4 linked regions of the Tamandua tetradactyla genome follow. The protein of the gene in region 4 binds, or shares a complex with, the protein of the main gene of each other region. Links are inferred from orthologs where the notes say so. Each region holds a gene or a part of one and is shown on either strand. Other genes may lie near its edges.

What was found.
Region 1: SNRPD2 (region 4) and SRRM2 share a complex: the UniProt entries of both Homo sapiens proteins name them as parts of the minor spliceosome. The link is inferred for Tamandua tetradactyla from reciprocal best matches to the Homo sapiens genes SNRPD2 and SRRM2.
Region 2: SNRPD2 (region 4) and EFTUD2 share a complex: the UniProt entries of both Homo sapiens proteins name them as parts of the minor spliceosome. The link is inferred for Tamandua tetradactyla from reciprocal best matches to the Homo sapiens genes SNRPD2 and EFTUD2.
Region 3: SNRPD2 (region 4) and SCNM1 share a complex: the UniProt entries of both Homo sapiens proteins name them as parts of the minor spliceosome. The link is inferred for Tamandua tetradactyla from reciprocal best matches to the Homo sapiens genes SNRPD2 and SCNM1.

The regions. Positions count from the first base shown.
Region 1 is NC_135349.1:54,601,729-54,608,875, reverse strand, and holds the start of SRRM2 (serine/arginine repetitive matrix protein 2), read right to left. Parts: upstream 3,021-7,147; 5' UTR 2,816-3,020; intron 2,467-2,815; exon of another isoform or gene 2,185-2,466; intron 1-2,184. UniProt on the Homo sapiens protein: Required for pre-mRNA splicing as component of the spliceosome. As a component of the minor spliceosome, involved in the splicing of U12-type introns in pre-mRNAs.
Region 2 is NC_135332.1:22,527,524-22,534,720, reverse strand, and holds the start of EFTUD2 (116 kDa U5 small nuclear ribonucleoprotein component), read right to left. Parts: upstream 3,014-7,197; 5' UTR 2,803-3,013; intron 1-2,802. Other genes in the region: DNAAF19 (dynein axonemal assembly factor 19), read left to right, coding at 4,260-4,402, 4,775-4,907, 5,541-5,993; Ig-like V-type domain-containing protein FAM187A, read left to right, coding at 7,005-7,197. UniProt on the Homo sapiens protein: Required for pre-mRNA splicing as component of the spliceosome, including pre-catalytic, catalytic and post-catalytic spliceosomal complexes. Component of the U5 snRNP and the U4/U6-U5 tri-snRNP complex, a building block of the spliceosome.
Region 3 is NC_135330.1:4,391,523-4,399,026, reverse strand, and holds SCNM1 (sodium channel modifier 1), read left to right. Parts: upstream 1-4,489; 5' UTR 4,490-5,035; coding exon 5,036-5,086; intron 5,087-5,355; coding exon 5,356-5,426; intron 5,427-5,672; coding exon 5,673-5,761; intron 5,762-5,862; coding exon 5,863-5,960; intron 5,961-6,071; coding exon 6,072-6,160; intron 6,161-6,996; coding exon 6,997-7,191; intron 7,192-7,346; coding exon 7,347-7,446; 3' UTR 7,447-7,496; downstream 7,497-7,504. Other genes in the region: LYSMD1 (lysM and putative peptidoglycan-binding domain-containing protein 1), read right to left, coding at 3,980-4,159. UniProt on the Homo sapiens protein: As a component of the minor spliceosome, involved in the splicing of U12-type introns in pre-mRNAs. Plays a role in the regulation of primary cilia length and Hedgehog signaling.
Region 4 is NC_135342.1:15,336,436-15,344,080, reverse strand, and holds the start of SNRPD2 (small nuclear ribonucleoprotein Sm D2), read right to left. Parts: upstream 3,006-7,645; 5' UTR 2,877-3,005; coding exon 2,875-2,876; intron 1,465-2,874; coding exon 1,285-1,464; intron 1-1,284. Other genes in the region: QPCTL (glutaminyl-peptide cyclotransferase-like protein), read left to right, coding at 3,695-3,901, 4,405-4,548, 5,221-5,502, 7,261-7,413, 7,515-7,614. UniProt on the Homo sapiens protein: Plays a role in pre-mRNA splicing as a core component of the spliceosomal U1, U2, U4 and U5 small nuclear ribonucleoproteins (snRNPs), the building blocks of the spliceosome.

The sequences.
Region 1 (7,147 bases), on a different chromosome or scaffold from region 4:
CCTCCTTTGGCCCCAATAAGCACAAATAGTGCCTTCTCCAACTACTGGACTTCCTAGCCAGTAACTGACTGAAGCCTCAAATGGGGCACAATGAACACCAGAGAGATCTGAGGCACCCAAAGGCCTGTGGTCCAAGCTCCAAAACTCTTCCAAGAGTCCAGGCCAACCCGTATGAACACAAAATGGACTAAAATGCCCCTAGATATCTAAACTAGTGGACTAATTGGTTAAAAGAAATCAAGTTTCCTGTGAAGCCTCACACCCAGACTAAAATCCAACATGTACCTCAGAAACTTACATAAACCTTGGCTAAACCCCTTATACTTCGTTCACCTCCTAGTAAACGGCTACTTTTCCTTGGTTCCAAACATTCACAGCTCCTAAAAACTATCTGAATATTTCATTCCTTCAATATTTTTCCCAAGAGGAATTCCCACGATCAGCATGCTGTTCCTTCAATGCTAACTCCTGTTAAATATTAGTTTTCAACTCAGAGCTCTACTTAAATTCATCAAATCAGCCTTCTCTGTTCTAATTCATCCCATACCTTTCACTATACTCCTTGCCTCATAAGCTTACTCAAAAGACCTTCCCTCTCTATACCTCACTTTCATTAGTCAACCTGTCCTTGGTTTTCCCTACCAAACCCCTGTATCTCACTTTCTAGTTTTCTCTCCTAGCCCTGTCTTCTCCCTGTCATGTTAATCCCATGCCTCCCACCACGTTCTATTCTTTCAACTTGTCCCACCACTAACAAGACCCTGAAGAACCATCGAGTCCCAGTTTTTCCAGTTAGATTTTGTGACTCCACACACTCCATTCCTTTCTCCCACTCATCCTCTCCAAGACAATTTCACAGAGCATGAGCGTATGAGAAAAAGACCCAAGGAACGGCTAAAGAAAAGAATACAGAAATAATCAGATAAAAGGAAAGGAGCATCATACAAACAGATATACTAGGGGAAAAAGAAAAAAAAAGCATGGAACGATTCTGAACGAACAGAATGGATAGCTCAGTTTCACAACAATTTACCCCATAAAACTAAGGCCGGTTCCCTGCCCAACCCCAGCAGAAAACCTAAGACAGAATTAAAAGCAGAAAAAGATAGGTATAACGCCTTTCAAAAAATAACTTTTTTCAAAGGTAAGGGAGTGGCAAATGAGGCCAAATCTAGAAAAGGCAAGTGGAAAGGCCCAAGAAAATGAAAAAACTTCCTTATAGCCCAAGAAATCAGCTATTACTGTACCCTCCCACTGTCACTTTCGTTTTTTTCCAATACCAATCCTCCCCACTCTAAAGCCCTCTTTGCCTCTCTACACCCCACCTAACTTTCCACTTCCCCCACACAATGCTTCTGACCATTCTTCAGCTTACTTAACCATTCACCCGCACTTCCACACCACCTCACACAAAAATCCTCCCACTCCCCAGGGAGAAAAAACTAGTAGCTGCCAAGCAAAGGGTATTTAGTCACAATGAATTGGAGAACTTTTAGGACACGATCAAATCAAACGAAACAAAAGAGAAAAAAACAAACAAAAACACCAGGGCAACCAAGGAGGTTCTCAAAACACTAAAAGAAGGGACCAAGCAGGAGAAGGAACTTCATAAAACAGGAATTTTAAACCGGGGTCCAAAGACTGTGGGCATGCACAGATGATCCGATGTAAAAATAGAAAGTTAAATCAAACTGCAAAGGAAGGCAAAAGAGACATTCTTCTATGGGAAAATCATCAGGATCCCAAATCAGGAGATAGACGGGAATATCGAAATTTAAAAATCAAAAAATGAAATAGCACCACAAGGAGGGAAGGTGTACAGGGACACATAGGTAACATGGCAAGACCGGGGCTGGGACGTTGTAATAGGTGAATAAACACTATGGAACTCAGAAAAGTAAACTGTGATCTCAGGAAGAGACCTAAACCCACACAACTAACACGGAAGACCCCAAAATAGATTTCTTCTGAATTTTTTTGTATCTAAAGGACATCTCAGAGACGCCATGTGGAAACCAGGGCTCAAAAAAATTGCGGCCCAAAGAGCGCTTGAAACAGGAAGCCAAGTCTCTAGGTCTGGAGTTTTATTTCCAACGAAGGGCTCCAACAGTCTCCTTAGGTTTAACGATTTGGGGGCAGATAATGAAAATATGAAAAAAAGAGCACACATAATACCTTACATACCTAGGCTGAATACGCAGGAATTTTTTTTAAAGGTCCCACCCTCAATCCTCTAATAAAACGACTTCAAGATGCCTAAATCTCGGGGGCATCTAGTACTAGGCATTCCCTGAACTAGCTGGGCCGCGCACGCCTATTTTCGGCCTTGAGGGATGGGGGAGGGGGCTGCGCGGCGCCCCGCAGTCTGGGAGGAGCCGGACCAACGAAGCCTCCGGGTTTGCCAACAGGCCCCCGAGAGGGACGGGGAAGCCCAGTGCCGGAGAGATCGCCGGAGAGAAGGCCCGGGAGAAGGCTCCCGGCCGCCCCCCACCCCACCCCACCCCCCAAAAAAGGCCGAAATGAACAGCGGCGGCCCCAGGACCGGGGGCGGCGAGAAGACGGGGCGCGCGCGAGCCCGAATGCGGCCGGCGGCGCGCGCCGTTGCCATGGGGGAAGGGAGAGAAGCCCTTGAGCTACGAGAACCGAGGGAGGGGGAGGGGAAGCAGGCAAGCGAGGGCGTCCGCGCGAGCTAGGAGCATCCAACGCGCGTGCGCGAAACGGCCTAGGCCGTTCTCCCCGCGCTTTGGCCTCGCGCCGGGGCCGCCGTGCGGCTGCCCCTCCCCCACCCGGTCCGCGCGCTCCCTCACCCTCTCACCCGCCGCCGCCGCCTCCTCCGCCCGCCGCCTCCGAGGGGGAGAGGTACTGCCGCTGTCTGAGCTCTCGAGTCCCTCGGGGCCTGGAGCCGCAGCCTACACCCGCCGATCCGCCCGCCTCAGCCGACGCCGACGCCTCTCTGCTTCCTCAGGGGCCGCAGCAGGCTCCGACTGCGCCACTCGCTCCCCGCCTGGGCCGCGCTGCACGTCAGCACGCCTGACTAAGCGCGTCAGCACGCAGCCGCGCGCGTCGCAGGGCCCGCCGGGAATCGTAGTATGCCCTGCACACTTTTGCGCAGGCGCCAAAGTCACACCGGGAAGTGTGGTTTCTTAAGGCCCGAAAGTGGTGACTCGTGGCTGCGAGTCACCGAGAACTGCGGGTCCCGTCGGCCAATACAAGGAAGGTGGGGGGAGCGGCCGGAGCGAGTAACGTATTCCGGAGGCTTTCTGCTGGGGAGAACGACCCACAGCTGAGCGCCACCTCGACCGTCGCTCTAGCGCTCCTCGGCCGCCCGCCTTCCGCCGCAGAGCATTCTGGAAGTTGTAGTTCTTGCATGGCGAAGAACCCGTATGTAGCGTCGGTCAGGGGTGCGGGCGCCATCTTGTCTCCCCATTTTGGGAGGCGATGGCTCAAGCCCCGCAACAAAGCTCCTGCCATGTGAGTGCGGGCTCGAGGGGCGCGCTGGCGTCCATGCGGCTCCCAGCCTTGGTTCCGGGGAAAGCCGTCCCGGACCCCGGACGATGGGCCCCCCTGGCCCAGACACAGGCCGAGCTATGCTGGTGGTGGTCGCAGGCTTCACTCGTGCAGACCGCGCGGAAAGGTGGCAGCTTGCCCCCGGAGATAGTTTTCGGTTATCCCCTAGTAAGGCGACCTGGCAGAGATGCAGTTTTCTCTTACTTAACTTGGAACGTGTTAGACGTAAATGTATACACACGGAGATGTGACAGGAAAAGAAAAAGTTATGATCACCCCTCCCCCTTAAAAAATTAAATCCATTTTTCTGATCCCAAGAAGCAGCCAGTCTCTTGGAGCAGAGATATAAGAAATTGGGCTTTTCAGACGGGCCAAAGTTTAAATCTGGCTCCACCGCCTGTGGCTATCCTGGTTCTCTCCAGTGTCCTCACCCCCTTCCTAGGGCCTACGGTCGCCATCCCACACGCAGGTTTTGAGAACATCCTTGCTCACAGGACACGCTCGTCGCCGGCCTCGGCACTGGGGATCTTGACTTTGCATGGGAGCTGTGGCTTCAGTTTGCAGGGAATTGCCCTGAATCCTACCTCTTTGAGCCGTGGCCTTTGGCCAGTGCGTCCCTGAGCTGGACGCTCCTCAGGGAAACTATGGCTATGGAAAGCTTTTGTCTTCCTGGGCCTGAGCTGTTTGGCGTTCCTGAGGTGGAGGCTGGAGGCTGGAGGGTGGGGGGGTTTTAAAAAGAAGTATTCCAACCCAACTCCTGAGGAGCCGGGGTGGGCACATTCTCAACCCGAAAGAGCACACCGGGCACGGGGTTTAGACATGACTTCTTAGCAGAAGATTCTTCTTGACGGCGGTGTCCTGCGGGGAGGTTGAGGGGTGCAAAGGATAGCTTGTGAGGGTTTAGGACAGAGACATTCCGTGGGGTGTAGGAGCAGAGCTTCAGCAGGTGTCCTGGCACAGGGGTGTGGAGATGTGTTATTACCGTGCTGGGGAAGAGGAGTTTCAGTGCCCTCACAAGGTAAGCGGCGTGTGATGCCATCTGTACCGTCTTTCCTCCTTGAGGGGGGCGTCATGTAGGCAGCTAGTGCCTAACTCCCCTTCGGAACGGAGGTGGGGCCCAGGCCCTGGGTCTCCCCAACCACCTTCCCAGTGAAACCCTTCCCTGACACCCAGCGTCCCGTGAGAGTCTTCCCTCTATTTATTGAATGTTTGGGGCTGAGTTCTGTGCTTGAATCAGCTCGTTTAATGCTCAGGACAACCCTATGCGGTGGGTGTTGCTCGCCGTTGTTGCTTCCTGTAGAAACGGAGCTCGAAGGATATTAAGGAATGATGAGAAAGAAAGAAAGGAAGAAGGAGAGAAAGAAAGACACAGACGGGCTCAGGGGGTCTGAAGCTTGAGTTTACTTCAGACAGACTTCAGACAATTTTATTTTATTTTTTATTAATGAAGTTTTTTTATTAATTACAAAAATTAACTAACAACATTTAGAAATCATTCCATTCTACATATGCAATCAGTAATTCTTAATATCATCACATAGATGTATGATCATCATTTCTTAGTACATTTGCATCGATTTAGGAAAAGAACTAGCAAAACAACAGAAAAAGATATAGAATGATAATATAGAGAAAAAATAAAAATAATAATAAAAATAAAAAATATATAAAAAAGGAAAAAAACAAAAAACACAAACAAACAACAAAAAAAAAACTATAGCTCAGATGCAGCTTCATTCAGTGTTTTAACATAATTACATTACAATTAGGTAGTATTGTGCTGTCCATTTTTGAGTTTTTGTATTTAGTCCTGTTGCACAGTCTGTATCCCTTCCGCTCCAATTACCCATTATCTTACCCTGTTTCTAACTCCTGCTGGTCTCTGTTACCAATGACATATTCCAAGTTTATTCTCGAATGTCGGTTCACATCAGTGGGACCATACAGTATTTGTCCTTTAGTTTTTGGCTAGACTCACTCAGCATAATGTTCTCTAGGTCCATCCATGTTATTACATGCTTCATAAGTTTATTCTGTCTTAAAGCTGCATAATATTCCATCATATGTATATACCACAGTTTGTTTAGCCACTCTTCTGTTGATGGAGATTTTGGCTGTTTCCATCTCTTTGCAATTGTAAATAACGCTGCTACAAACATTGGTGTGCAAATGTCCATTTGTGTCTTTGCCCTTAAGTTCTTTGAGTAGATACCTAGCAATGGTATTGCTGGGTCGTATGTCAATTCTATATTCAGCTTTTTGAGGAACCGCCAAACTGCTTTCCACAGTGGTTGCACCATTTGACATTCCCACCAACAGTGGATAAATGCAATTTTATTCTTAACCAGATCCTGGTTATATACCACAGGATGACAATAGGCATGCATGCATTTCCCCAGGGAACAAAGTTCTTATCTTTCAGTGTTCTTCCTTCGTACTTAAAATAACCATTTGGGGTAAACAAACATTCTCTTCCTCCTAAACTGTCTTACATAAATCAGATAACATAAAGCAGTTTACTGCCACCACCACACTAATGCCATCTACTCCCAAGTAGTTCCACAAGTCTTATATTAATCCTGTCTCCTATACCCCGTTTCCCCTGGGGAGAACAGTTAATATCCACAATCCAGTAATCAAAATTATGAAAGTACATTGAAACAGTGCTATTATCAAATCTCCAGACCTTATGGAGATGTCAACAGTTCTGGTAACAAAAAGCCCTTTATAGCAAAAGGAAGTCCAGGGTGGTGCCTGGATGGAATTCAGTTAGATTCCCTAGACCAGTACAACCTTGAGTAATTCTGACTCCTCGTTTTAATTTATCATGTTGACGTTGTTGGAGGGTGCAGGCCGTTTATCTGGTAGCCTGTCCCTCCGTTTGGGTTGGTCTGAGGTTTCATCATGATCCAGGTTATGCATTTGTGGCAGGAATCCCACACAAGCGATGTTGGTTCTTCACAGCACATGATGTCAGGAGGCTGGTGCTGCCCATTGCTGCCCCTTACTGCCAACGCTGATTTTGCTCATTAGGTTGACAGAGGGACAACCAGGTTTCTAGCTGTAAAATCGCTAGTTTAGGGGGTACAAGGGTAGTTCAGTGGTAACATCCCCACCTGCCATACCGGAGACCCGGGTTCGATTCCCTGCCCATGCACTTCCCAAAAATGACGAACAAACAAAAACCAAGCAAAAAACCAAAAATCAAAAAAATGGTGCTGCAATAAGGGGATACCTACATGGAAAAAGAGTAAAATGTGACCCCCACCATACAGTGTACAAAGAAAAAAAAATTTACTAATTTACCCTTTGTAGTTAAAAGCAGTGTTCAGAGGAGAATTTATTTAGAAACCAAGATCTGCCTACTCTGTGCGCTTAACTGTTACTAGGGTGTCATTGCTTCTGGGCCGTCTTTGAGGACAGAGCTTGGGAAATGGATAAACTTTATCCGTTAGTTCATGCTGTCCAGTACTGCAGGATCCCTTTTGTCCTTTCCCCTCTCCATGTTAACTCCTTTTTCCAACTGTGAGAGTCCTTGCTTTGCTTTTCCAGGATATGCAAAGTTATTTGCTTAATCCTAAAATATACAAAAAGAAGTGCTTATCCCTACTCCTGCCAGAAAAAGTTGCCTGCCAATTAT
Region 2 (7,197 bases), on a different chromosome or scaffold from region 4:
CATTAACTCCCCATTTCCCACTTCTATTCCAGAACTTATAATCAGCTTTGTCTCTATGAATTTCCATATTCTAGTTAGTTCACATAAGTGAAATCATACAGTATTTATCCTTTTGTGTCTGGCTTATTTCACCCAACACAATGTATTCAAGGTTTATCCATGTTGTACCAAATATCAGAACTTCATTCCTTTTTATAATTGAGCAATATTCTATCATATATATACCACACTTTATCCATTCATCTGTTGATAGCTTTTTACTTATTTAAATGATTGACAAAATTAAAAGAATAGTGTGTGGTACATGAAAATCAATGAGAGGAAATTCAAAATTTATGTCTATAAATAAATTAACACAGTCACATGCAGTCATTTATATTGTCTTAGGCTGCTTTACACTACAACAACAGAGTTGAATAGTTGCAACTGAGACTATATGATCCACAAAGCCTAAAATAAGTACTTTCTGATCATTAACCAAAAAAGTTTGCTAACCCCCTTGCTTTAGTGTATGATTCCTACAAACAAGGATATTCTCCTGTATAACCACACTACAACCACCAAAATAAAAAACAAAAAAAAATTAGTTTTGGCACATTACTACTATTTAATTCATAGGACTCCATTTAAGTTTCACATATTTCCAATAACATCCTGCACAGCAATGGATCTGATCCAGGATCACATGTTGAATTTAGTTGCGATGCCACTATTATTTCAAGCTGGAACAAGTTCCTCAGTCTTTCCTTGACCTTCATGATCATGACACTGATAGGATTACTGGCCAGTGATTTTGTAAAATGTCCCTTAATTTGGGTTTGTTGATGATTTCTCGTAACTAGATTTAGTTTATGAATCTTTGGCAGGAACACCACAGAAGTAATACCATGTTCTCCTCCGTACATTTTGTCAAGTGGCACATGATTTCAAATGGCCCCTTTAGAGGTGATGTTAACTGACTAAGGTGGTGCCGGTCAGGTTTTTCTATCGTAAAATGACTAGTTTTCCATTTGTTATTAATAAGTATTTTGTGGCTTTTTTCCACGTCAATTACTGAAATTCTATTCAAAGTGACAGTTCAAATGCCCTCCTTATAGTGAGTCAATTTTTCACTTTCCTACACTGCTACAGCACTTTGCACCTTTATCAGCATTTAATTCTGCTAACTAGTCTCACTGAGAACTCTAAACTTTCTCCACATCCTCTCCAGCACTTGTCATTTTCTGTTTTGTTGATAATGGCCATTCTGGTGGGTGTGAGATGATATCTCATTGTGGTTTTGATTTGCATTTCTCTAATGGCCAGGGACGTTGAGCATCTCTTCATGTGCCTTTTGGCCATTTGTATTTCCTCTTCTGAGAAGTGTCTGTTCAAGTCTTTTTTCATAAAATTTACAAGTAATAGACAACACAGAAGAGCATTTTTAACAGGGCTCTGGAATTGGAAGATCTAGACTCAAATCTTGACTTTGTCACTTAAAAACTGAGTGACTTCAGATAAGTTACTTCACCTCTCCAAACCTGCTTTCTCAACTGGAAAATGGAGTGAATAATTCCCACTGTGTAGTGCTGTGAGGATTAAACAAAACAGTTTGCACACAGAATTCAGCACAGTTATCATTATTTCTGGACATTCTTGAATATGGGGACCCTATACTCCTTGTGTCTACCTATAAATGCCCTAGACAGCACCTTGCATAAGTAGGGGTGGGATAAATGTTAACTATATAGAATGCCCAACTTTGAGATACTGATATTTCTTGCATTAGGTTAATCCTTCCATCTCCCTCAATACTACCTCCTCAATGCTGACCATAGATGAAATAGAGAATTGAGTCCTGTGAACCATTAATTAAATGTAAATATTAGGAAAGCATTTGTATTCACGTACTCTTTTTTACTTCCAAAGAGCTGTCACATCTGTGCTCAAGTCATCCTCCCAAGATCTCATGAAGTGACAAGAGATTCTTATACAAGGCTATTTACAGAACAAGCCTCAGATCCTCTGTATTTGCTATGCCCTCTGTATTTGTTATTCCGTCTGTCTGGAACGCTCTTCTGTTGGATATTTATGCCTTTTCCCTTCACTTCCTTTAGGTCTTTATCAAAATGTCACCTTCTCTGAGAAATCTTCCCTTGTCACTCTGAAAAAGTCCCCCACATATCCACTCTCTGCCCCTCACTTAAACTGTTTTATTATTTCCTTAATATATATCACAAGCTGACTTTCACATCTATTCGTCTGTTTATCGTTCACTGACTCTACTACACTCTAAGCAAAGACTTTGTTTTCTCCTTTATCACAGTGCCGGCACAAAAGAGACCCTCAATAAATATTTACTGATGAATGACTCCACCAAGGCACAGAGAAGCTAGGTGACTTCCTCAGTTGCACAAAGCTAGTTAGTGACTTTTGGCGCCGGTCTTCACTGCAGCTTCCCGCTATCAAGCATATTCTCAAAAAAAAAAAATCAAATAAAGAGGAAAGCAGATTGGTAAAGAAGAGGTGAAGGCGGTCCAGAAGTGGGAGTATGTGAGAAGGCTAAGCAGTTAGAGCACGACCCCTGCCAGGAACGGAATTTTATGGATGGACTATATCGAGGGAATTCAGGGATCTGAGCGGGGTGGGGAAAAGGCCTTTCTGGAGTGGTCCCTATGTTCCTTTCCTGCTCTAGGCCTCAATTTCCCCACATGTAAAGTAAAAGAACAGACAGCACATAATGCCTACTCCAGATCTGACGTTCTTTAATTTCCCATCCCACCCGGAGCAACGTTTCCATACCACTGACCCTCATCAACTCACCTGCCGCCTGCTAGCCAAGAGTCCTAACCCAGCCGCCGGCCGCCGCGCTTCCGTCCCACGCCGCGCGACACCTGAGCCCGCGTTGGGAAGGACCCCATAGACGCCTTAGTCGCGTTTCTGCCGGGAGGACAACCCTCCGCCTGAGGACTGGCTCGGAATAGCGCCGGCCGCGGAGACAAAAACCTGCGAGGAAGAGTCGTGGGTCCCCACAACAAAGCGTGGACTGTCCCACAGAGAGTAAGTCCTGAGTAGGCGTGAATTAGAGCAGGCGCCTATGGACCACCCCGAAAGGGGGCCTTCGGGCGGATCACGTGGGCAGGCTGGTGGAGCAGTTGCTAGGCAACCACAGCTGCTGGGCGCGATCTGCACTGAGTTGCTCTTTTGTCCCAATTTATCAGGGTAACCCCAAAGAAAGCAAGGCGTCTAGGGCCTGAACTGCGGGATAAAGTTCCGGGATCTGAGTCGGGGGTTAAAAGTGGAAGGGTTAGTTGTTCTATCTGTTCAATAGATAGATAGATTGGGAAGGAGTCAAGATGCCTGAGTTGAGTTTCTAGCTCACTCTGGTCCTTTCCTGTCGTTTCTCTTACCCATGCTGGGGATGGGGGTAGTAGCCGTGGGGTTGGATGAGGACCTCCTGCTTGTCTGCCTCAGGACAGTTGATAACTCCGCCACAAAATTCACCAGGAGGTTCAGAGAGATCTCAAGCAAGTAAATGTTGAAACCAAAACTAGAATCCATATAGATGACTTCCCGGTAGAAATCCATATAGATGACTTCCCTGTAGAAAGAATCGATCCGCCAAAGGTACGTGGAGGCTGCAGAATCAGAGTGGCAGAATTAAAGAGTTCATCTGAGAACATAGAAACCTGTGCTCCTCCTTGACTGGCCAGAGGCGGGGATCATTGAGCCACTTCTCTGCCATGTGTTGATTTCCTGCTCAGTCATGGCATCTAGTTTGGGTGAAAAATGCCCCTCCCTATTTAAAGTATTTCATGAAAGGTGAAATCTTACCCCAGGCTCAAGAGTAGTTAATAGTTCTTTTTTTAGTTGAAGTGGTCCATCCCAAAAATTTACCCATATGGAAGACTGGAGGGGCTGAATTCTGAAATCCAATGCCTCCTCAGACAAAGCACTCAACATTCAGATAGTTTTAGAGGCAGAGAACAAAATTAATAGGGCTCCAAACTGAAAGTTGGAACTTTGTTCTATTTTTAGTGACAAGTCTTTAGCAAGTCCCTACTCTGCTATTCAGTTCCCCTCCTTGTAAAGCAGAAAACTAGATTTTTGTATTACTGCCCCTCAACACACACACACACACATAAATACAAGGTAAGTTAATGATTCCCAGAGTGCTTTTGGATCATTTTGTGGGATGGCAAAGAATCCAGAGGCCCCAGCATTCCCTTATATTGACCCTCTGCTAATATCCATTTTCTTTGCCTTCCCAGGTACAAGCCATGGAAAGGAATGATGTCATCAACTTCAAGGCTTTGGAGAAAGAGCTGCAGGCTGCACTTGCTGCTGATGAGAAGTACAAGCGGGAGAATGCTGCCAAGTTAAGGGCAGTGGAACAGAGGGTGACTACGTATGAGGAATTCAGGTTGACTCACTGTCATTTTTCTCAGGCCTCTCTTATGGTAACAATAGTGGAAAAGAACAGGGACTCTAGAGTCAGACAGTTCTGGGCTTCATTCCTGGCCTCACCTTTTACTAGATGTGTGATCTTGTGCACATTACTTAACCTCTCTGGGCCTCAATTTTCAAAGAGAGTAGCCCTTGTATCGATTAAATGAGTTGCTGCACAGTAGACACACAAGAAGTATTCAATAACCTTTGGCTATTGTTGCTGTTACTATTATCATTATTGTTATGTTGGTTTGTCAACAGATTCAGCCTGTAGTGAGCCAAGCCCAGCTACCTTCCATTCACAGAGCATTACATCCATTCCTCCATCTCTGTCCTTTGCCCACAGGGGTATTGTCCTTGCCTCCCATCTGAAGCCTCTGGAGCGAAAAGACAAGATGAGAGGAAAAGCGATTGTGTCCTGGAACTGTCACACAACTCCGGGACATACCTCCCAGGATGAGGCTACTGAAATCTCACAGGTAGGGGTGGGCCCAGCCTCTTCAGCCCAGCAAAATTCTCTGCCCTGAACATGCAATCCTGTCTTCTTACAACACATACCTATTCCTTATTTTTAGTGTAAGGACAACAGAGACAGATTTCTGCCTCTAATCCCAGAAAGGAAAGCAACCAGAGGATGGTGGGGCCAAGTTGGGTTCGGCAGGTCAAGTCAGAAATTTGGGCTCCGCAGGTCCCCTTCTGTCAGTCCTTTGACTTTCATTCCCAGATAAGGCTGGAGTTTCTCTGCCTCCAGGTTGTAAATACTATAATGATCTTTTGGCAGTGTTGAGAGGGAGACCTAGTCTGTCAGATCCTTGATACTCACCTCGAATTCATTCTTCTTCTTGAGATTTCCAATCATCCCCTACACCCTGGTCACAGTAAACCATGACTTACTCTCTTAGATTGGGATCATGTCCCCATTCATCAGTGGGAAAATCTTATACAACTGAGGGCTCTCCCTTCCTGTCCCAGCTCCCGCATTTGAAAATGAGGCCCATAGGGACCACAACCAGTACTCAGATAGCACTATCAGAGTAGCAATTTCCCTCCCTCTCACTGCCCCAGAGCAGCTGGACAAGCTCTGGACTCTCTTTCTTTCCTTTGTAATCCAGGAGAAAACACTCCTCCAGCCTGAGACCTCAGCAGAGTTCTACCGCAATTGGCGACGATACTTGCAGAGTGGACCAGAGCGCTACCAGGTCCTGCTACAGCTTGGGGGTCCCAAGCTGGGTCACCTCTTCCAGACAGATGTAGGGTTTGGACTTCTAGGGGAGTTGTTGGTGGCCCTGGCTGATCACATGAGGCCAATTGACAGGGTGGCAGTACTGGGTATCTTGCGCAGTCTGGCCAGTACTGGACGCTTCACCTTAAACCTGAGCTTGCTGAGCCATGCAGAGAAGGAGAGCTGCAGAAGCTTGTTTCAGAAGCTTCAGGCCATGGGTGCCCCAAGTCCCATGAAAGAAAGGCTCAGCCAGGAGAAGCAGGGTCTGGAGGAGCAACCTGAAGGGCCCCAAGATGAAGAGAGGCTCCTGCAGGAGCTTCTGGGACTGTACCAGATGGACTGATAGGACCATCTGCTCTCAGAGGCCCCCAGAGACCACTCAAGGCATTTTGTTGTTGTCTTGGGGGCTCTGCAGGACTGCAATGAGAAACTCACCCCTAATGCCCTTCTCAACTTGGAATTTTCTGAGCAAGAGCAGGAATCGGATCTTTCCCACTTCTCTAACCCCTAGTGGCTCCATGTTTGGAACTCTGGATCCAAAGGGTAGTCAATGGCCCAAGAGTTTGAAAGCAGTTTTACTTCCCACCTTTAGAACCTATCTAAGCCTTTATCCCCTCTCCCAGCTTCCCCTGGCTCTGAGAGATGGCTACATCAATAATGCTCTTCACTCAAAAAAAAGAGAAAGTAAATCCTTAATCCTTCATAGTAAATAAGTGATCTCCACCGCTCTTAATAAGAATATTTATAACCCCAAACCAATGAGTGGCTATTACAACCACAAATGATCAAAAGCTACCTCATTTAGGGTGTAGCATTTCTCCCCAGGGACTGGGCTTCTTTGCAGGTTGGTCCTGGGAAAGTCCCAAGCTATGAGCTCAGGTCTGGCCAGCCCCCCAGACTTCTTCAGATGGCCATGTGTGGTGGCATGAGGATTTCCTTCATCTCTCAGACTGACAGAAAGGAAGACCCTTCCACCAAGTAGGCAGGGCAGGGTAGAGCCTAGAGTGAGGCAGAAATTTTTTCATCCCAGCCACTGGGCCCTTGCTTTTCATTGGTTTCCCCTGACCCATTCTTGGATGAGTGCCAGAGTTCTAGAAAGGCGAGTGAAGGCCAGGTTCTAGAATGGTTTCCTCATGAGACCAGGTCTGGAACATTTGAAGGCCATTTTGTATATCAGCTGGGAATAAATTGCCTTGGCTTTGGCCACTTCCTCCACAGAGTGTAGTTTTTTTTTCCTCGCTGAGTAATCCTTTGCTCCCATCTGCCCCTGCTCTCAGCAGGGATTTTTAGATGCCACAGGGCCTTTAGTGCCTTGGTTTTGCACCTCCCCCTCTGAACCTGCTCTCCTGCAGGCATGAGCCTGGCCCACACCACCGTGCTCCTGTGGGTCTGGGGAAGTCTTCAGGCCTTTGAAATCGTGGAGAAGGAGAACATTTTTCAGAAGACCCCCTGCCCGGCTTTTTTGATGTTTGACAATGCAGCCTACCTGGCTGACATGAGCTTTGAGCTTCCCTGTCACTGCAAGCCTGAGGAGGTGCCGGCTGTAG
Region 3 (7,504 bases), on a different chromosome or scaffold from region 4:
TTCTGAAAAAAAATTCAGATCAAACCACAAAGCAATCTCACTTATAAACCTCCTATGGTTCCCTACCAGCTAAACAAGAAATCCAAATTAGCATTCAAGGACTTTCTCAATAGAGCCCCTGTAGAAAATGTAAACCCTCATCTCTCTTCTTCTGCCAATACATTTTGTAGTCTCAACTTTGCACTGTTCTTTGAACATTTCATGTTCTTTCACATTTTTGTGTCTTTACTCATAATATTCCTTCAGACTGAAATGCTTCCTCGTAGCCCCTTCTCTGCCTGGAAAACTTCTACTTATCAACTATCACTATCACCGTCTTTGTGATAGTCCTTCTTCAGGGCTCCCAAAGCATCTGTAAGTATTGCTGCAATAATACTCTCCTATTACACAGTTAATCATCTCTGCGTTTTGTCTTGCCTGCCAGCCTGTGTGTCCTCTAAGGGCAGTGATGATAACTTGATGTCTCTATATCCCACGGTGCTCTTCAATGCTCCACAATGCTTGGCACATACCAGGGGCTCATGAATGCTTTATAATAAATAAACCAGATAATAAATAGAGAAACCATAGACATAACCTATCAGTATTTTACTATCAGAAAGTCAGGTTGCCAGTTTTACTGAAAACTCACCTCATATTGGCACCAGTACGGAAAGCATATTTCTTATATTTGTCAAATATCAAAGCTGTTTCCACCCTGGGGGAAGACTACTATAATAAACTTGACCAACAAAATCTTATTCTATTATAATACGTTTAAAAAGAAAACTGGATTAAACTGAACAATTAAAAAAAAAAGTAAAACTGGCTTGTACTTTTGTACTTTAAACTTGCTAAGTGCTTTCATGCTTTTAATTTTAGTTTGTCTAGATAATATCCTAGGTCCCTTCCAGCTCCAAGACGCTATGAGTTACTCTGAATTTTCTGTTGCTTTTATTTTTTCCTGGAAATGTAACTACATGCTATATATATGTTACCACTATTAAAAAGGGGGATATAATTGAGGCCAAAATTTAGCCATAGCCACAGAGCTAGAAATGCCTTTAGAATCTAGTTTGTGTAAAAGAGCAGTTAAAAGTGAAGGTTTCAGAAGGAGACAATTTAGCCTGAACCCTATCTCTACCAATATACTAGTTGCATTGATATATGGCAGGTTATCTTATCTCCCTAAGTCCTAGTTTCCTCAACTTTAAAGGGATAGTTACACCTACCTCACAGAGTCTTACAAAAATAATGAGATAATACGTTTATGAGCTTGACACATAGTAAATAAATGGTAGGGAGATAATAACTTTACTATCATTATTATATATTATATAATTATATATCATTATTTAATACATTTCTTCATTTTACAAATGGTGAAGAAACTGAGGCCTCAGTAAAAGGAAATGACTTACGTGGTCACTCAGCTAGTAAGCAGCAGAATGGGTCTAGAACATAGGACTCTTCTTCCTTAGACTACAGATATTTGCACACTAATGTTCATAAGTGACATAATTCACAACTGCTAAAACATGGAAGCAACTCAAGTGTCCATCGATAGATGAATGGATAAACAAAATGTGGTATATACAACAGAATATTACTCAGCTGCAAAAACAAATGAAGTTCTGATACATGTGACAACTTGGAAGAACCGTGGAGACATCATGTTGAGTTAAACAGGCCAGAGACAAAAAGACAAATATTGTGTGACCTCACTGATATCAAATAATTAGAATAAGAAAACTCACAGAGTCAGAATCTAGAACATAGGTTACGAGGGGATGGGAATGTGGGGGCAGGGTAGGGAATAGGAAGTTAAGGCTTAAAATGTACAGAGTCTCTATTCAGGACGACAGAAAAGTTTTGGTAATAGATGGTGGTGATGGCAGCACAATATGGTGAACATAATTAACAGCAATGAGTTATACATTTGAATGTGATTAAAAGGGGGAAATTTTAGGTTGTATATATGTTACTAAAAGAAAAAAAAATCCATGGCACTGCACAACACAGTAAACCCTAATTTAAACTATGGACTATAGGTAATAGTACAATTATAAAAACGTGCTTTCATCATCTGTAACAGATGTAGCGCACCAATGCAAGGTGTTAATAATAGGGTGGCATAAGGGAATCCCGTATTTGATGCATGATTTTTCCTAAACTCACAGCTTCTCTAATAAAAAGAATATACATATATTTTAAAGTAACATTTAAGCAGAGACCCAAAGGCTGAATGAGAATTAGCCAGGTGAAAAAGAAAAGGGGAATGATAGCAACGATAATTTCTAACATGTATACAAGCATGCATAATTTCCAAAGGTGAAACTGAGAGAAAATTCAGTTTGGCAAAACGTGGTGAGGTTCTGTTGGCACTGTAGGCATGGCAGTTCTTCACTGTGGGGGTGCCCCAGGCAGTGCTGCACGCTTGACACCCCAGGCCCCTGCGCACTAAATGGTGACAACTCCCACTGCACACATTCCCCAATGCTCCCTGGTCATGTAAGGAGAACTGCCTCCAGGGGAGAACTGCTGGGTACATGATCTAGCGTGTGCACACACGAAAGCGTGTGAGACAGAGGGTGGCTAGGGGGACACGGAATGGGAGAAAAAAAAAATTCTCTGATATTTATTGTAAATATTAAATACTAAATGATTCACTGGTGGCTCAGATGCATCTATGCATGGCTTCTAGGCCCCAGCTGAGACCCAGGGGCTGTCCTGTACTTCCATACCAGCTTCCTTTGCTGAGGGCATTCCCTATACTTGAAATATTTTCTTTCCTATACTCCATGGATAGAAATCTTAGCCATATCCATTCAGTCATTCAAAAAACATCTGTTCAGCTTCTATGTGTTGCGCTGTGCCAGACTCTAGGAATATAAGGTTGAAATGGTTTCTACCCTTAAGGAGAGTATAGGCTGCTGGAAAGACAAAGATGGCAAACAACTGGTATTACATAGTAGAGGGGGCCACAGAGGAAGGAACTTCTAAGTCTTTCAAGGTCCATGGTGTTGGCTCCCTGAAAAATCTGCACTAGTGTTCCCCCCCTTGTCCCCCTCTGAATAAAAATTAACCTCCTTTTCTGATTTCCTGCTCTTTATTAAATACCTCTACTAGTTCACAACACAGTCTGCCACCTGCAGTCACTATTTGTGTCCCTGTCCACTTCACATTAGACTGTAAATTACACGATGGTAATGACCACATCTCTCAAGATGGTTACCACAGTGCTTTAAATATATGAAGCATAAAAACAAAGTTGGCTAAATCCAATACTTGTTTGTTAGATTGAACAGGATATGGGGAAAAATTCACCAACTTTAATGTGCTCAAAGTAAGCGCTAAAGGGGAGGGTCTGTGCAATATATTTTTACACTTGTCAAAAATACCCCATACATGACCTGAAATACTTGGGGAAGAGAGTACCTTACCAGAAAGAAGGCAGAGCACGGAAGGAGGGAAATACAGCAAGAAAAGATAAGCACCCAGGAACTTAGAACTAAAAATCAGCTCTCCATTAGCTACTGTAAATATTTAATCACTCTCAATTAAAAAAAAATCTATGTGGTTAATAGCCACAAAAGCTAGTAAGGCTTCAGAGTCAGACAGACCTGTTTGAATTCCAACGCTGACACTCATTAGCTATTTGACTCGGGTCAAACTGGTTAACCAATCTGTCTCAGTTTTGTCATCGGCAAAAAGAGGACAATAGTCGTATACTTGATAGGGACATGAGGATCAAATGAGCCAATGTACGTAAATCAACTAGCATACTGGCTGACATACAGTCGGCTGCTCCTCTCTATCGGGATAGTGGGAGAGGATCTGTCCCGACCAGACAGTGCAACACTGAGAGATGTCAGCAAACGAAAGGATATAGGTAAACAGAACACGAGCACAGCCTCAGTTAGGAAACATTCAGGGGAAGTTCATCTTGAGGAGCCAAAGCATTCTTCTGAGGAATAACTCTCCTAATTGGGAGACTCACCGTTACCCCGTATTTGAGTGCTAGTCCAGCCAGCGTGTCTCCGGGCTCCAGCTGATGCTCCAGGCGTCTTTCTCTCACTGGAGAACAGGCAGACTGCACCAGGCTACCATAAGAACGAGCCCGGCTTCCCTGAAGCAGTCCTGAACCCCCAAGAGGAACCTGTCTAGAGGGAGAAGCCATCTCCTCACCCTGCCGACAGCTGAGTCTGCGACTGAGAAGGCCCGGCTAAATCCAGGGTATTCCTTTCTTCTTCTTTCCTAAATCTTCCCCAACCCACCCCCTCGCCCTTAGCTCCCCTTTATTCCCCCAAACCTCCTCCCGCCTCTGTCACTCCACCCCCTTCCCCGCCCTCTCTCCTTTCAAGCCCCTTTTCCCACAGTCCTAGTTCTTGAATATTCAGTTTCCCGAGTCTCCCTTTAGCCACCCACCAACCTTCGACCTCCCACAAGTCCTCGCTCCACTGACCTCTGACTTTTGAACTCTAGGTACCCTCGCAACACCCTTTTCTCAGTTTGTTCTCTCAGCCGGGCAGCCCGGCCTCCCCCACTGCGGCTCCGCCCCGTCCAGGGGTTGGTCCGTTAGGGTCAGGAACAAATCAGGCCTACTCGGGGTGAGCTGTCGCCACAGACGAAGGGCTTAAGGATGGCGAGCGTTTGTAGTCCACTTCCATTCAGGGACTCTAAGAAGCCAGCTCAGCATCACATCGGTCACACTCTCAAATCCGGGCTCAAGCATCAGCTCCACATCTAGGATCTTGTGCCTCCAAAGGCCTCGAATCTTCCAAGATGCAAGGGCCTTGGTTCCAGCCCTTTGAGAAAAGACTTCATCTCCCGAAAGGCCCCGCGCGTCGGGGGCGCCGGGAGCCAACGCAGAGCCGCTTCCGCCCCCTTCGCCGTCGCGCAGTGCATACAGGGAACCGCGTCCCCGGAAGTCGGGCGGCCAACCGGAAGGAAACCAGGAGAGGGAAAGCAGACACCTTTTACCTGCTAAGATGGCTTGAAAGGTGCGGGTGATGCATTGCTAGCGAGTTTATGGCTGCTGGGACTCACGATAGCGATGTCTTTCAAGAGGGAAGGGGACGATTGGAGTCAACTCAATGTGCTCAAAGTAAGCGCTAAAGGGGAGGGTCTGGAGCAGCTTCAGCCGCCCTCTGAAGTTTTTGAAAGAGCTTTGCCGGGTTGCTCAGGCAGCAGCTCCGGGGACGGGAGGGAGCCAGGCGACTAGAGCTGGAGGTGCACCCCCTTTTCGCCCTTTGATCGCTGTTCTCTCTATGGTCATTATTACCTTTGATTCTTCATCACTATAATTTCCCTTCCATACTTTGTCCTGCTTATTTCTTTGACCCTGTTCGATTTCTTCCCTCGCACCCCCTGCAGAAACGAAGAGTCGGTGACCTCTTGGCCAGTTATATCCCGGAGGATGAGGCACTGATGCTGCGGGATGGACGGTGAGGGCAATGAGTGACGCAAGTCTGAGGTTTCTGCGGTTACAGGTCCAATAAACTGTTGTTGTTAAGGAGAAGACTGGGAGTTACTAGGACTCTGGTGCGGCGTGAGGGACCAGAAGAGATAGGGATATGGTTGGTAAAGATCGGGAAACCTGAGAGTGGCCTATGAAAAGGACTAGTGGGACAGGGTGGAACCTGTAGGAGGAACCCTCCTGATCCAGTTATCCTCTTCTCTCACCTCCCTAGCTTTGCTTGTGCCATCTGTCCCCACCGACCTGTACTGGACACCCTGGCTATGTTGACTGCCCACCGTGCAGGCAAGAAACATCTGTCTAGTAAGTTTGGGGGGAAGACAGGAAACAGAGAGTAGACCCTCGAAATCTCTGCAGGTCACTCTTGGTACATTGCTTGTAATTTCCTTTCCGTTGCTCCTCAGGCCTGCAGCTTTTCTATGGCAAAAAGCAACCAGGAAGGGGAAAGGAGCAGAATCCAAAACAGCAAAATGAATTGAGGAGGGAGGAGACCAAATCAGAGGTAATCAAGAGGTAATCCTAGGCAGGGCTCTGCCACACACGCCAGGCTGGAAAGGCTTTGGCTCCTCTCTAGCTCTGAAGGCTCTGATTCGGTCTCCTGTTTCCCTGCCAGGCTCCTTTGCTGGCCCAGACTCGATTTATCACCCAGAGTGCGCTGCACAGAGCCCCCCACTATAACAGTTGCTGCCGTCGGAAGTACAGGTCTGTGGGATGGGAAAGCCAGAGGAAAATATGGTGATTTGAGGATGAAGAATAGGGAAAGAGTAACTTTGCTATTAGTTCTTACATTTAGGTCCATAATCATTTTGAGTTACTTTTGGGGTGGGGGGTGGGGGGTGGTGCCTGGTCTGGGAATTGAAATGAGTTACTTTTTGTATATGGCTTGAAGTAAGGGTCCAGTTCATTCTTTTGCATGTGGGTTATTCAGTTGTCTCAGCATCATTTGTTGAAAAGACTGTTCTTTATCCACTGAGCATTACTGCATTAGGAAAAATTAAGAATTGAAGAATAACTATGAAAAGTTATTTCACTTCACATTAGTTAGATGGAGACAATGGATGGAAAAATATATATGGTATGGGAATCAGTCTTAAGGCAGGGAGGGACCTAGATAGATGGAAGGCAAAAGGAGATAGATAGCTCTAAAAATATTGTTTTCCAAATTGTATTCTGAGGAATTTGAGAGTTCTAGAGATATTAATTGGTATTTCAGGAAAAAGAAAACTTTGTGATTTTAAATAAAGTTTGGGAAATAGTACTTTGTACTCTTACTTGAGGAATAGTAATATCAGCATATTTTAAAGGCTCTACAAAGTCTTAAAATTAAAAATATATATATTTTAAAAATTTTGTTTACTATAGGCTTTTCCTAAATTCATTTGATTACAAATTCCTCATATGCAGAACACTTATTAATATCTTGAGAAGCAGTTTAGGAACCAGTTGTTTAGGCAACACTGCTTTTAGGGGGTGGGAGTCATAGAAGAGTTGGTCTTTTCCTTTATGGCATTTATATACTTCTATCCTTCTCTCCCTAGACCCGAAGCCCCTGGTCCTTCTGTCTCCTGTTCTCCTTTACCACCCCCAGAGGTTGAACTCCACAGTGGGATAATCAGCAGGCAGCCTGAGTCTGGGGCTGGCCCACAGGCCAAGGAGACAGCAACTGTCTTAGCCCCCCCACCCATGAGCCCCACAAGAAGACGAGCCCTGGATCGTTACCTCACCCTTCGAAGGTGAGTATGCAAAATCACTTTCCTCGGATTTTCTCTTTGCTCTCTGTCTCTCCTTTTTGCACACATACTTGATTGTTGTTTTCTTATCCCCATTAACGACTCAAACTTCCTTTTTCTCATTCTGACCAATTCTGTTTTCTCTGATGTTTTTCCAGCTCTGGATGGATCCCAGATGGACGAGGCCGATGGGTGAAAGATGAGAATGTTGAGTTTGACTCTGATGAGGAAGAACCCCCTGATCTCTCCTTGGACTAACACTGTCTTTCCCCATTTAATTCACAAATAAACTACAACAGGTGCTGGGAGCCTCACT
Region 4 (7,645 bases):
GGATGAGCAGGTGCAATGCCCACCTGTTTGCTTCACATTTGGAAACCCTGGGAAGACATCTGGAGAAGGGTGGCAGTGGATGACCTAGATAAATAGGGGATGGGCAGGATGGGAACTTTACTATTTGGGGAGTCATGTGAATATATTACCAATTTGGAAAAATTAAGTTAAAAGCAGAACTGCAGTGTGCCAATATGGAAACATTTATGAATTAATTATATTAAATTAATATTAATCTCATGAATACTGAAAAAGCTGAGATCTAGAACTGCGTGGTGGGACAGTAACAGTGATTTTAAAAAGGCTAAAACCCCACATATGTGTATGATGTCATCTTCAAGTAACATCCCTGAGAGGCGACCCAAGAAGTGAGCTGTGGTGGTGGCTTGGGGGAGGGTGGCTAGGCATCCTTTGTAGCTGTTGACTTTTGCCTCACATGTATGTATTACCCATGCAAGAAAGTAACATAAGCAAATAAATAAAGGCCAGGGGATTGGAGGGTGGGGGTAGGTTACTCATAGTGTTGCCCTTAGGTGTTGACGAGTGGGAGAAATGAGGCAGAAGAGTGCGTGGAAAATCACAATTTTGTCATATACAACTATGTCTCAATAATGCTGTTTTTGTTTTTTAAGTCCACGAACAAAAACTACCATTACAAAGGATCCCCCGGATATACGTGTGAGTGTGTTGGTGTACAAATGTGTATTGGGGTGAAGGCTGGGTAAGGGAAGGATGATCTGAGGGTCAGAGGAGGAGAAAGCTAGAGAGAAAGAGAAAGAAAAGAATAACAAAAATATAAACCACCACTTATCAAGCACCCAACCATATGCCTGATCCTCCTTTAAGCATTTTAGAAATATTAACCATGAATCCTTGCCACAAACCCAGGAGGGAAATACTACTATCATCTCTAGTCTCTGGAGTACAAATAGAGGCTTAGTGCCATGAAGGGACTCATTCAAGGTCACAGTTTGGAAATGGCAGAAACTGGTTTGAATCTACTGACTCTCTGCAACCACCATGATTATTGCCATTGTGCTGACGAGATGAAATCATGTGATGAAGGTCACATGGCTGCTAAGAGGCAGAACTGAGACAGGAACCTAGGTGGGGGCTGGCTCCTGAGTGCATGCCCATAACCACTGTACTGCACAGCTGGAGGGGCAACAAGAGACAGCCACACTATGGGGGTTTTAGATGCACATGTCTTCAGATTCCTCCAGCTGGAGCTGGGGCTGCTTCTCCAGGCCTGCACAGAACACCTCCCAGGACCCAGGTGCTCACCTGTCAAAGGCCTTCACACGGCCCAGGAGCTTCTTGTTGTTACGGCAGTTGATGAGCACTTGGGTGTTGTTCTTGACAGACTGCGTGAGTACGGAGAGGGGCCCTGTGTTAAATTCCTCCTCCTCCCGCTTCTGTAGTTCCTCTGGGGTCATCTCACTCTTGGGCTTGTTGAGGAGGCTCCTGAGGGGGCAAGCACAGGACCGTGAGTGAGAGGGGTTGGAGGTGGAGGATGAGTAGTTATGGTCTTGTCCTTGGTGACCTCCCCCAAACTTGTTCCAACTAAACCACTCTCCCGCTTAGGGCTCCAGTTCTCCTCCCTCTTAGCATCACTACCTGGATCCCTAACAGACATTTCCAACCTTGCATGTCACAGGTTGAGTTCCAGACCACTGAACCACCCAACCCACTCTATCCACAGCCTTCCCCAACTCCATACCTCAGGGAAAAATAATCGAATGTCAACTTGTCTCCTTGTTCTCACATCCTACATCTAACCTGTCACCAAATCCTGCCATCTGCCTCTAAAACATATCCAGGATCTGAACATTTCTTACCATGGTTACTACTCTGGCCTAAAATTCCATTATCGCCCTCCTGAGATCTTACTGGTTTTCCTGCATCTCCCCATGTCCCCAACAAACTATACCATGTCACTCTTCGAAACCCTCCAGTGGCTCCCATCTCAGTGTAAACAATAAACTCCAAAGTGCTCACAATGCCCTATACCTGCCCCCTCTTTCATTCTGCTCCAGCTGCAATGGTCTCTTGAGTGATCCATGAAGAGATTCCCCTAACTTTCATCTTAGGGCTTCTGCATTTGCTTTTTCCTCCGTCTGGAAATCCCCCAAATAGCTGTGTGGTTTGCTTCCCCACTTGTCTCAGATTTTTGTTCTGCTGTTAGCTTTCCAATGTGGTCTTCTGTGTTAGTTATTAAATTTATTTTCTCTCAAAATTGGCATACCCCATTGTTCTTATCATCCTCTACGGCTTCTTGATTCACTGCCCTGATCATTTAAATTTTATTTGCTTACTGTATTTATTGCCTGCCTTCTTACGCAGAAGCTGCACTGAGACAGGGAATTTTTTGCGGGGTGGGGGTTCTATTTTATTCACTGAGGCGTATAAAGCAGTGCCTGATACACAATGAGCACCCCATAATATCTGCTGAAGGAATAAATGAATGAAATCACTCCTGTGATTCATTATCCATGAAAAGCCATTTGTTTCCAAAGTCAAATTTCCAGTATTAGTCCTTTACCTCAAATCGTTTTTCCTTGAAGTCGGCACTTACTTTTCCCCAGGTCCTTTATCTGTAACATCGCTTCCCCTTAAAATTCATCTTAGCAAGTCCAGTTATCTGGCAAAGTCCCTAGCCTGTTATCTGAAAAGGCAGCTTCCTCTCCCGAACTCATGATCAGTAAAAGGCCCAAATCCCATCCTCAAACTCGCCAGAAGGAACATACGCCACTTTACCCATAAAACTTCTACCTTCGCCCCCAGCTCGCTATCAGAAAAGGGCTCTTCCCAACAGACAAATTTGTACCCCCAACCCCACTCCCGCCGCCCAGACCGGGCCGGGCCGGGCCTCACATGATAGTAGGTGAGTCCTGGAACCTCTCCCTTCTCAGGCGTGTTGCGTTTCCCTCCGCAGACAGAAAGAGAGAGAGGCGGGACTTCCGCTTCCTGCGACCTACTTCCACGGGCGCCTGCGCGAACCAGCGGTAGGGGCGTGGCCTGTTGCCATAGCAAACCCCGTCCGCCGGGCGCAGTGGTGGGATTAAAACCCTGTTTAGTAGTTCGAGGCCATTCAGGGCTCTAAAGGGCAAATGGTCTCGACGACACAGAGAAAAATAATGGGGGTCCGAGTCAATTCATTTCATTGTAGGACAGGATAGATTGAAGGGGGAAAACGACACGCCAATTCCAAATACCCGCCAGCTCTGCTTTCGGAGGCGCGACCTCCGCGTGACCAATCCGCTTCCGGCTTCAGGGGTGGGCCCCGCCCTCTTGCCCTCCCGCCCTCCCGGAAACTCCCTTTACGGTTCGGTTGATGGCCTCCACGCCGCGCAACCAATTCTTAGCCAACTCCCGGGGGGGGCGTGGACCTGCCTCTAGGTGGGCGGATGTTGTCAAGGATCAAACGCTTCTTCTGTTGGCTTCTCCTCCTCTGCTGAGGCGGAGCCTACCTCTTTCGCGATCCCTTTTGGGTTGTGCAGCCCAAAGGGAACCGACCCCAAAACCTCAAGGGGCCCATCCTCAAAACGGCAGTTCCCATTGGCTTTACTGCCTGCGGGGGGTGGGACGATGCAGTCGCTCTTGATGCTCATTGGTCCGGTGGTTCCGTGGGAAGGGACTTGGCTGGGCCTGAACGAGCTTCGCGGTCCTGGACCCTTTGCCAGGTAAAGCTGCCATGCGTCCCGGCGGCCGCGGACGGCCTCGGCTACGGCTCGGGGAACGCGGCCTCTTGGAGCCACCCTCGCCTCCCACGCGCCGCCTGCTGCCCCGGGTGCAGCTGCTGCCCCTGCTGCTGGCGCTGGCCGTGGGCTCGGCCTTCTACACCATCTGGAGCGGCTGGCACAGCGGGCCTGGGGAGCCGACGCTGGGCCGAGAGCTGCGGGTGAGGCTCCGCGCGGGTTGGGGCATGGCAGGGGCCCCGCATTCTCCGCCTCTCCTTCCTCGGATCTTGGGTTGACGTGGCTGTATCGTCCGGCCGCAGCCGCAGGTGCTGCCGTCACCGTCATTCGAGCCAATGCCCCTTGCCAGCTGAATCGGGCTTCGGGCTTGAACTGTGGTTCTCCCTTAAGAGGAAGGATCGCGAGTGATAAGACTGGGAGTTGGGAGATCGTGGTTCTAATCCCAATGTCATCTCTTTGGAAGAGTCCCTTTCTCTTTCGGGGCCTTGATTCCCCCCCCCCCCGCCCCCCAGGATTAGGGTGGGCTGGACCAGATGGGCCTCGAGGGATATTCCTGAGTCTAGGATTTATCCTAGAAGTCTTTCACGAGGAGCCAAGGATTATGAAGAGGAACCGGAGCTCCTTATGTCCAGGGTTCCAGGGTTAGGGTCTCGGTGGGGACTGCACTTACGCGCTGGTCTTCCCCACCCCCTCTTTTCCTCTCAAGACCCCGCTGATCGGAAACCTTCCCGAAGCCGGATTGCGGAGGGTGGTGGGGCAGCTGGACCCTCAGCGTCTCTGGGACACCTATCTGCGCCCCCTGCTGGTGGTGCGAACCCCGGGCAGCCCAGGCAATCTCCAAGTCAGAAAGGTAAAGGGCCCCACCTCCCAGTCCCCAACTCGCCCCGGGAATGGGAACTGAGCATTCCGCCCTAGATCACAAAGCAGCTAAGGGGCAGAGCTGGGGCTGATCTGAGTCGATTCAAACGCCCTGTGTACCGTCCCCATCAAAAGCATAAGCAACAGCTCAGTGAGTTGGTCACCAATACAATCTTCACATGCAGATGGGAAAACTGAGGCCCAGAGAGATTATATACTTGGCCCGAGTTCCATAGCTAGTAAGTGGTAGTCCTGGGGGTTGAAACGAAGCAGGCTGGCTCTGTAATATCCCAGTACTGCCTCCCAGAAAGAGTAAGGCATCACTGAATACAGGTCTGGGTTCGAATCCCAGCTTAGCCGCTTGGAATGTGAACTTGAACTAGTCTCTTATTTTGTTGTGCCTCAGTTTCCTCATATGTAAAATGGGGTCAATGTCAGTTCCTACCCCACAGAGTTCTGTAGAGTACATAGAATAGGGTCTGGTATTGAAGAGTGGGCAGTAATTAATCCTGTTGGTATCAAAAGGTAGGGTTGCCCCATACCTGGCACCCACTAGGTGCTCAGCAGATGTGTTTCAAGGGAATATGAGGTGGTCTGGCTGCTCTGCGTGATTTAGGTCATGGCCTTCCCCTGACCCACACTCCCGCCTCTCTGTTGCCACTAGTTCCTGGAGGCCTCGCTGCTAGCACTGACTGCAGACTGGCATGTGGAGCTGGACCCCTTCACAGCCTCAACACCCCTGGGGCCAGTGGACTTTGGCAACGTGGTGGCCACACTGGACCCACGGGCTGCCCACCACCTCACCCTCGCCTGCCATTATGACTCAAAGCTCTTCCCATCTGAGTTGGCCCCCTTTGTGGGGGCTACGGATTCGGCTGTGCCCTGTGCCCTGCTGCTAGAGCTGGCTGAGGCCCTTGACCTGGAGCTTAGCAGGGCCAAGCAGCAGGTGAGGAGGGGGGTGGGGTGGGCTGCCTCCACCCTCACTTGCCTGGGTGTTTATCATCCTTCCGGTCTTCTTGCCTTCATGCACAGGGACACAGGGGTCCTCCCACTTGCTGAATGTCAGAGCCTGTCCCTTCTCTGTCCCAACCTTCTCTTGATGGCTTCTGTGTCACTCAGAGCATAAGCCAGAGTCTTTGCTGCCTCTCCAATCTCATCTCCCACCCTCACCTATTACTTACTCTGCTGTAGCCACACAGGCCTTCTCAGTTTCCCCTAAACCCACGATGTTCACTCCTACCTCAGGGCCTTTGCAGTTGCTATTTTAGCTGCCAGGATCGCAGTTCAAGTATAGTGATTACAGAATGGGCTCTGGAATCAGAAAGCCCTGGGTCCAAATCCTGGTACTGCTTCTTACCAGCTCTGTGAACCTGAGTTAAGTGGCTTCAACTCTCTGAGCCTCAGTTTTCCCATCTGTAAAATGAACATCATGATGAGATAATTGGGATAGCTACTGCCTCGACTCATAGGGGTTAAATGAGACCTGGGAACCCAGTGAGCCTACAGTAGCGGGTAACCAGCATACATTCCTATTGCAGTGAATAGGACCTTATGCCCTGGCCTTCTGCCCTCCAGTTTGCACCTGCAGCATGCTTTTCTCATACCTTCCTGGCTAGCTCCCTCGCTTCATTCAGGGATCTGTTCCATCATCACCTCCTCAAAGAGGCCTTCCCAGACATCCTAAAATCCCTCCCTGTCACCATCCTGTACTTCATATTGACTTCTCGAAGCCTCACTTTCTTCACCTGGAAAATGGTGTGAATTCCTAGGGTAGGTTTTGAATCCAGGTCTTAGAACAGTGCCTGGCATCACCCCAACAAGAGTGAGCTCCCTGAGGGCAGGGAGTTGACTTCTTTTGTTCCCTGGGCCTAGAACAACTCCTGATGTAGAGTAGGACGTCAGTACAGATGTGTAGAATGAACGAATGACAACACAGATCTCATCACATTGTTTCCCTGCTCGAATCCCTACCTTGGCTCCCCAGTGCCCCCATAACAAAGCTCAAGCTGAACTTGTTGGCCCTTGCCATCCCTCTGGCCTCTTCTCACACCTCTCTGGCCCCTTCCCTGGGCCCAGTCTTGCCCTGTGCTATTTCTTTGCCCAGAACTCTCTTCCCACTGCTCCCCCATTCACTTTTTTTTAGGCCAGCTCCCTCTCACCTTCAGGGCACAACTCCTTGCCCCAGATCCAGGAACCCTCCCCAGGTCAGGCCTCTCTCCCAACCTGCTCTCCCACTGCCTGAGCTCTCAGGACACTGTAGTTCTTGGCAGCATTTGTCCTAGCTGCAGTCCACTGTTTGTATAGTTATTCATTATATAATGAATAATTGGGTCTGGCTCGTCTGCCAAACTGAGCTTGAAGAATAACAATAATAATCAGAGCCAACCCTTTGTAGTCACTATGTACCAGGCACTGTTCTAAGACCTGGATTCAAAACCTACCCTAGGAATTTACCCCATTTTCCAGGTGAAGAAAGCGAGGCTTCGAGAAGTCAGTAACTTGTCCATGACTGCTTTGTTAATATGCAGCTGAGCCTGGATTTGAATCCCTGGCAGTCTGACTCAGAGCGGGTACCCTTGGCCACCATGCTCTACAAGTGAGGAGACCTAGTCTGCCCTATTCAATTTTGTGAGCGGACAGGGTGCATGGGTGGGCTGTGGCCGCGGACCTGGCACTGGGTGGGTGCTGATACCTTCTCCTACAGGCAGCCCCGGTGACCCTGCAGCTCCTCTTCCTGGACGGCGAAGAGGCCTTGAAGGAGTGGGGGCCCAAGGATTCCCTCTATGGGTCCCGGCACCTGGCCCAGCTCATGGCATCCGAACCCCACAGTCCCGGTCCCACCAGGATCCAGGCTATCGTAAGACCAGGGCCCACTCCGGTTCCGGTGAGGGAGGCAGAGGGTGAGGCAGGGTTGGTGGCTTTGCACCCGGCCCCTCCAGCCCCGGCCTCTCTCCCTAGGAGCTCTTTGTGCTTCTTGATCTCCTGGGCGCCCCCAACCCAACCTTCTACAGTCACTTTCCCCGCACGGCCCGCTGGTTCCATCGGCTGAGGAACATTGGTAAGGGCTACGGGGGAGGCAGGCGCTGGCC